Linked DNA regions of Xenopus tropicalis. The protein of the gene in region 1 purifies or fractionates together with the protein of each later gene. This does not show direct contact. Links are inferred from orthologs where the notes say so. Each region holds a gene or a part of one and is shown in the gene's direction. Other genes may lie near its edges.

Evidence for each region.
Region 2: the proteins of znf346 (region 1) and krr1 purify together in Homo sapiens (affinity purification with mass spectrometry; 3 studies listed by BioGRID and IntAct, with this or other methods). This does not show direct contact. The link is inferred for Xenopus tropicalis from reciprocal best matches to the Homo sapiens genes ZNF346 and KRR1.

The regions. Positions count from the first base shown.
Region 1 is NC_030679.2:46,420,757-46,424,943, reverse strand, and holds the start of znf346 (zinc finger protein 346), read left to right. Parts: upstream 1-1,387; 5' UTR 1,388-1,533; coding exon 1,534-1,591; intron 1,592-4,187.
Region 2 is NC_030679.2:61,103,402-61,107,623, reverse strand, and holds the start of krr1 (KRR1 small subunit processome component homolog), read left to right. Parts: upstream 1-1,422; 5' UTR 1,423-1,571; coding exon 1,572-1,641; intron 1,642-1,902; coding exon 1,903-2,078; intron 2,079-2,293; coding exon 2,294-2,428; intron 2,429-3,519; coding exon 3,520-3,645; intron 3,646-3,730; coding exon 3,731-3,814; intron 3,815-3,901; coding exon 3,902-3,958; intron 3,959-4,222. UniProt on the Homo sapiens protein: Part of the small subunit (SSU) processome, first precursor of the small eukaryotic ribosomal subunit.

The DNA.
Region 1 (4,187 bases):
AGCCCAAGTTCATTCTATTTTATTTTTTTTCTTTGAGGGGAAGAATCGAGTGTGGAAAAAACTATTGCACCAGATGGAAACCCACAAAGACACAGGAAGAACAATCTGTCATATTTGATATAGTTTTATTTTTCCTCAGTGGGTACGAGATTCAGCTGTTAATGATGTTTCTGGCCCTTCTTCCTATTAAAGGAACAGTGACACCAAAAAATGAAAGTGTTTTAAAGTAATTAAAATATAATGTACAGTTGCCCTGCGCTGGTAAAACTGGTAAGTTTGCAACAGAAACGCTACTATAGTTTATATAAATGAGCTGCTATGTCGACACGGGGGCAGCCATTGAAGCTGGGAAAAAGGAGAACAGGCACATAGCAGATAACAGATAAGCTTTGTAGAATATAATGGGGTTTTATCTGTTATCTGCTAAGTAACCTGTGCCTTTTCTCCTGTAAATGGCTGCCCCCATGGCTACACAGAAGCTTTATTATATAAACTATAGTAGTCTTTCTAAGGAAAACACACCAGTTGTACCAGTACAGGGCAGCATTACATTATATAGTAATTACTTTTATACACTTTCATTTTTTGGTGTTACAGTCCCTTTAAGGTCACAGATCCTAAGTTGGAATCCTGAGCGAAGCAATATTTAAAAACCAGGACCCGACCCAGACCCGCAACCCGACTCGACCCACATGTGTACATGTTCATGCCTACGTTTTCTTTTTTGTTTTGTTTTTTTACAGGTAACCCCTTGATACACAACCGACTGCAGGACCTACACTGTGTAGCCTCCTTCCCCTCCCCCCCCCATCATTTACCTTTTCTTTGGTAAAAATAGGCATGAGGTGCAGCACAATTGTAAACTGAGCCAAAAATCTGGTTAATAAACAGTAAGAGGGCTTCTGGCAAGGTACACTCTGACATGTCAACACACATAAATGATTCAGTGGCCGCCCTAATTTGACGCCCTCACCCGGTCACCCGCAGTAACGCAACGTATTAATAATGAATATTGCCCCCACAGTTGAGAAGACCTAAAAGCCACCCGAAAACCACATTAGATACAGTCAGCATTGGGCAGAAGTGGGAGCCCGCCAAGGTGGCGTCTCTGTTCGCCTCATTACAGAAGCGCTTGTGTCACTCGGTGCCCATTCTTCCACTTAATATCGAGGGCAGTTTTATATATTATGACAAAGCGTTGTGACTTCTGTACCAAAACCATTCTTCCCGGCACAGATAAATACGACTTTGGGTTACCTATTTTAACTTCTCCCGCAGCCTGAAATACACCAATCGCGAATAAGTTTCATCGGCCTGGATTGTTCCTTCCGGGTAAGCAAAATAAAGTTTCGTTAGTTTTGAATAAGGAACCGAGCGCCTTGCAATCTCGCGAGAGTTCGCCGTAGAACCCATGCAGTCCCGCGTTTCGCGAGAGTTGCACGTACCCGCTCTGGCCGCAGTTGCCAGGCGCTGTGTCGCGGTGTGTGTGCTCTTGTGAGTTTCTCACGGTGCCGGCTTCTTCTTGGGAAGAATATGGCAGACGAGTTCGGTGACGGTGATACTGTGGAGTTGCCAGTGGGAAAGGAAGCAGGTCAGCACAAATATAAAGTTACTGCTGTGCTCAGGGGATTGAGTGAGGAGCAGGAAACCTGAATAGAACGCGTGTAGTGGGTGTGCGTCTGGGGGCAGTGGGCCTGGCGACTGCTTAGTTATGGGACGTACAAGCAAAGGTTGCCCTTGGGTTTTTGCTCTGATACAAAGATTTCCTTTATAACATCTGATGGTTTGAATCTCGCCCTAAATTGACCAAAACACGCAACTTTGTGCATGAGTTGTATCGCTTGAACGCAGCCAAGGTGATCGCTTCTCTGATTTTCAAAGGGTTGCTCTTTCCATTATCAAAAGTGTTGTCTGAGAACACAACGCTCTCTAATATACTTCTGGGGAGAAATATGCTTTACGTCTTGCTGGAAAAAGTTGCCATGTTTCCTGCTCGCAGGGTCAATCTGTTTACTCATTCCCCAGGTTATTTCTGATTATTATTATTTTTTCCCCATCCAAAATGTTGGGGCAACTTTAATCCATATTTCTGCCACACCTCTTCAGTATGGAATTTCAGCAGGTATTTGGGTAAATTTTACCAGTCAGTCAGGCAGTGATTTGAATGAGACACTAAAAGATTAATTAAGTAGGGGCCTAAAGAGAAAGACAAGTAATAAACAATAACAAAATTGTAGCTTCACTGAGCACCAGTTTTTTGGCAGCGATGGTCGGTGACCCCCCTCCATCTGACGGCAGGAAAAAGGCAAAAGACAGCTGATAATTTAAGGAAAACTATACCCCCCACCCAATGCAGGTTTCTATAAAAATACATTGTATAAAACAATGCATATGTAAAACCCTGTTTCATTTAAATAAACCATTTTTGTAAAAATGTGTGTTTTTAGTTGTTTGTGCCATTGGATAATACTAAAAAGAAAATTGCCATTTTAATTACTAAGGGATAATATGATTCACAGTGCGCACAAACACATTACGCCACGTCAGCCAATTAATGGGCAAAGTTCTGTCTTTTGCACACATTCTGCAGGATTTTATATACTATTTGTCCCCTGCTTTTATCTTTTTTACATTACTATTTTTTTTGTTAGTTGAAAAATTCTTTGCAAACACTATGGGCATAGCATGGTAAATGTGACAATGAAAGTGCTGGATGATGAATCATGTTGTAAAAACGCTCATGGTGCATTGCTTTATAGTGGCTGTGTGTGTGTAATGTTTTTCTGGTGAAATAACTGGGGTGCACACTCCGGGGCATTGGGAGAGGTAAGGGTTCCAAAACCCTGGGCTTAGGGCTCTGGCACACTGGTACCAAAGTACCATCCCACCAGTGAACCTACGCAGGCGATTTGCCGAAATCGCCTGCGCTGCATGTGCCATCCCACCGGTGACTTACATTTTCGCTGGTGGGATGGTAGTTCGGGGAGATTAGTCACCCGTGACAAGGGAGATTTGACGCGGCAACTAATCTCCCTGTGTGCCAGAGCCCTTACTGTAGAAGGTTAAACATGCTGTGCTTTGATGTACAGGTATCGGACCCCTTATCCGGAAACCCATTGGGAACAGAGCCAAAACAATCCTATTGGGTGTAAATACTGTTTAAATAATTTTGTTTTAGTAGACTTGAGATAGGAGATCCAAATTACAGAAAGACCTCTTATCCAGAAAACGCCAGGTCTCGAGCACTTTGGACAATGGGTCCCATACCTGTACCTGTAAAATTGAACTGGAGGGTGGAGGTGCTGCTGTCCAGCTTTTCGGCCAGAAATGCAAGACTTGAGCCCAGAAAGCCTGAAGACCTCTGGACATGCTGGCTGTTGGTACTGATTGGTTGCCTGATGATCACCCAGGGAAGACACAGACATTATTTTCACGCTGACAGACTGATTGGGTATTACATTTAAACTGTCACACTAAAGAGCTAGTGGGGTTGTGTTTGGTGAATAATTCCAGCTTAACATTTTTGTAGTACAGGTATCGGACCCCTTATCCGGAAACCCATTATCCAGATAGTTCCAAATTACGGAAAGGCTATCTCCCGTAGACTCCATTTTATGCAAATAATTCGAATTTTTAAAAATGATTTCCTTTTTTCTGTAATAATAAAACAGTACCTTGTACTTGATCCCAACTAAGGTATAATTAATCCTTTTTGGAGGCAAACCCATCCTATTGGGTTTAAATACTGTTTAAATATTTTTTTTTAGTAGACTTAAGGTAGGAGATCCGAATTACGGAAAGACCCCTTATTCGGAAAACCCTAGGTCCCAAGCATTCTGGGTAATGGGTGCCATACCTGTTTATACTGTAGAGTGGCTTGTAGGGAATTTAGGGAATCCAGGGTTTTTTGTTTTGTTTTTTGTTTTTTTTTTTTTTTGAAGGATTTGGTTTTGGCTAAATCTGCAGTCCCCGGCCAAACCAAATCCAAATTAGCATATGCTAATTAGCATCCGGAAAGGGTTAAATGGTTGTGGGGGATTTTTACCCCATATGCTAATTAGGATTCGGTTCAGGGGTTCGGCCAAACCCAAAAAAAGTGGAGATAGTTAATGGGAACATGATAGATTCAATAGCAATTTTGTGTCATCTCTTCATTACCTTAATTTAGAATAACCTGGAGAGTTTTC
Region 2 (4,222 bases), about 15 Mb from region 1:
AGCCGCAGACGAAGGAGGAGCTCCTGTGGGGGGTAATGTGTATGGGGGGGCTCTGTGTATGGGGGGATCTGTGTATGGGGGGGCACTGTGTATGGGGGGCTACTGTGTATAGGGGGCACTGTGTATGGGGGGCTACTGTATATAGGGGGTACTGTGTATGGGGGGCTACTGTGTATAGGGGCACTGTGTATGGGGGAGCTACTGTGCATAGGGGCACTGTGTATGGGAGGGCTACTGTGTATAGGGGGTACTGTGTATGGGGGGGCTACTGTGTATAGGGGGTACTGTGTATGGGGGGGCTACTGTGTATAGGGGGTACTGTGTATAGGGGGTACTGTGTATGGGGGGGCTACTGTGTATGGGGGGCTACTGTGTATGGGGGGCTACTGTGTATGGGGCACTGTGTATGGGGGGGCTACTGTGTATAGGGGCACTGTGTATGGGGGGGCTACTGTGTATAGGGGGTACTGTGTATGGGGGCTACTGTGTATAGGGGGTACTGTGTATGGGGGGGCTACTGTGTATAGGGGTACTGTGTATGGGGGGGCTACTGTGTATAGGGGGTACTGTGTATGGGGGGGCTACTGTGTATAGGGGGTACTGTGTATGGGGGGCTACTGTGTATAGGGGGTACTGTGTATGGGGGGTTACTGTGTATAGGGGGTACTGTGTATGGGGGGCTACTGTGTATAGGGGGTACTGTGTATGGGGGGTTACTGTGTATAGGGGGTACTGTGTATGGGGGGGCTACTGTGTATAGGGGGTACTGTGCATGGGGGGGCTACTGTGTATAGGGGGTACTGTGTATGGGGGGGCTACTGTGTATGGGGGGCTACTGTGTATAGGGGGTACTGTGTATGGGGGTTCTGTGTATGGGGGACACTGTGTGTGGCGGGGCTCCTGTGTATGGGGGGTCTCCTGTGTATGCTGGGCAAATCTGGTACATAGTTATAACTCACTTATAACTGACTGCCTTCTCTCTATATTTGTATTTTAATGTAGGAGTTGTTATATTGTTTTCCTTAGGTAGTACAGTATGAGGGTATAGCACATTTGCGTCTGAACCTGCCATTTCATCTATATAAAAGGAGTATTTTTTTAAAAAATTGGGGTGTGGTAATTGGGGCGTGGCCACAAAAGTGGGCGTGGTCAAAAATTGCTTTTTGTCCCTCTTTTCATTTTTCAAATGTTGGGAGGTATGCACTTGTCCTAGAATATATTTCCACCCCTTTTTGAGGGAACTTTATGTAAAAATAACTTTTTTCATGAAGGCAACATGGAAAAGGTCAAGATTGACAAAAAATAAAATAAACACAATGTAATGTGTAATAGTGACTGCCTATGGCATCTTACAGCAGCGCTTCTGGTATTTGCCAGAATCCACAGACTGATATCCGGATCCAATAAATTTCTCTTCGGCTAGGTTGTGGTGCAAGCATAAAAATGCTGTAAAAACGTGGAACATAAGCGTTAGCGGAACCTATTGGAACTAGCTGGACTCCTGCCGGAGAGCATTTTATGTTGCCCACTTCCCGTGTTTATGTCACGTGTTGGAGCCGGCTAACTGCAGCATGGCGGAGACCGAGCAATCTGTGGGACCTAATGCAAAGGGCAAAAACAAGAAACGCCAGACCCAGCCGGGTGAGTGCTGCTTTCAGTTCTTTGGTAACACCGCTATATTTGCTTTAATGTCTGAGATGAGAAAAAACAAAATGGAGCCGTACACATCTGCTGTATGCCTATATATATATATATATATATATATATATATATATATATATATATATGAAGGCAGTCATTTTACAAGGCTAATACAGTTGTTATAAAAACGTAGACGTCAAAGAGCTCAGTTCATGTTGCAGAACGGCATCCTTTTAGCTATGTCTTTATTTTTCTTGCTAGTGGAGGAATCTGAACTTCTTACTGTCCCTGATGGCTGGAAAGAAGATCCTTTTACAAAGGAAGATAACCCAAGAGGATTACTGGAAGAAAGCAGTTTTGCTACATTGTTCCCCAAATATCGAGAGGCTTACTTAAAAGAATGCTGGCCGCTAGTTCAAAAGGCATTAAATGAAAGTGTATGGATTGTTTATTCCTATTAACCATGTATACCACAAAGTATATCTACACTAGCATTTCAAACCTGAAAATGTTTGCTTACTACTATACTTTTACACTGGGAAATAACAGTAAAATTACAACTTAACCCATTAAAGAGGTTTTGTTAACTGCTTTTTATATTTTTTTTATCAGTGTGTTTTTATGTCACTTTAATGCTGATTCTGTGTGGCAGTTTGTTAAAGCAGAGCTGGATTTGATTGAAGGCAGCATGACTGTCACTACAACCAAGAAGACTTTTGATCCATATGTTATCGTTCGAGCCAGAGACTTGATAAAGTTGCTTGCCAGAAGTGTTCCGTTTGAGCAGGTTTGTGTTACATGTAAATATTTTTGTACAATGACCATTGCTGAGTTATTGTCACTGAGACGGTCAAATTTGTTAGAATCTCCCCGGAGAATTTGTTCACTAAACTCATAGTCTGGACGGGTGCTTCATTTCACTGAAAAAACATACTAGCCCAGGGCTCTAATTTATTGAGCATTGCTTGAGTCTAATCCCAGTGATCATTGTGGCTGCTTTGAGCTTTTTACTGCACTTTTGCATGCCCTATACTAGCAACCATAAATGACGATGGTGCTCGGTATTTTAGTATGCTGAACCATTGTGTTTTTAAGTGAAGAGCAGCATCAGCAACTGTATACACTTACATCTCTAAGTTAATCACAAAACAAAAACTGTAGTACCGTGTTAGCCAGTGTCAAAAATAATAATAATAAAAAAACAACAAACACAAATATGAGAGTATTGTAGAATACCTATATTGGCTAACAATAAAAATACATTGCAAGCTTTCGGAGCTCTAAGGCCCCTTCATCATCATCATCATTTTGCCTGATGAAGGGGCCTTAGAGCTCCGAAAGCTTGCAATGTATTTTTATTGTTAGCCAATATAGGTATAATTTCTACAATACTCTTGTATTTGTGTTTTGTTGTTTTTTTATTATTATCTCTAAGTTACTAACCCTTTCCATGTCCTTTAATTGGTATAATGAATGGATGGCAGTGTCAGAGTGCAGAATAAGTGGTCTGAAACATCTTACATATTTTTCTAGACTATTACCACATTCTTGGGGCACACATTAAGACATTTGGGATCATACTATCAAACCTGTCAGTGATTACTTTTTTTTGCCAGTTTCAGGTAGCACAATGAAAACAAAGTTCCTCACAGTGACACATGGGGGCAAGAGGGCACAGACTAGGGGTAGGAAGAGAAGGTACCTGACTGGCGCCCCCTTATCATCATGCCCTAGGCAGGTGCTTCTTCTCCCTACCCCTAGTTCTGACATTCTGACCCTGAGTAATAAGATAATAATAACAATAAAGACAGAATTTCAGATTCAGTGCCCATTTCACATAAAAAGATGTGAATGACAAAGATATTTGTTTCCATCTAGGCAGTAAGAATACTACAGGATGATATGGCTTGTGACATTATTAAAATAGGCTCCTTAGTTCGAAACAGGGAAAGATTTATCAAAAGGAGACAACGGCTTCTGGGACCAAAGGGATCAACTTTAAAGGTACTTAAAGTATGCAGTTCTGGGAACTAAAATATGCTGTGTAATAATAATGGAGATGCTTATTTAAACTACTATTTCCTAACAGGCACTGGAGCTTCTTACAAACTGTTATATTATGGTTCAGGGTAACACAGTGTCTGCGTTGGGGCCATTTAGTGGATTAAAAGAGGTAAGATGAGTAGATTTTGCATTATTGTGGTTAATAAAAGGAAGAAAAGAATTAAATTTTAATAAACAAATCTTTCTTCTTGTGCAGGTTAGAAAAGTAGTTTGGGATACAATGAAGAACATTCATCCAATATATAATATTAAGGTAACTATATAGGGATGTGGTTTGTAGTCAACATTTGTGTTAAGGTTTTCATTTTGTGTATTTGAGTGGAAATTTTTGTTTAATCCTGTCTAATTTATTGTGAGCCAGTCCTCTTGTGTCTGCTAGCCCTGTTTTTTATGGATGCTGATCTGTGTTCTACTCACATAATTGGAGACGATAGTGTAGAAAGATTTAGTTGCCTTTTATGCAAACTAATGCAAACAAATTATTGGATAAAATGTCAATAATAGATACCTGTATGTA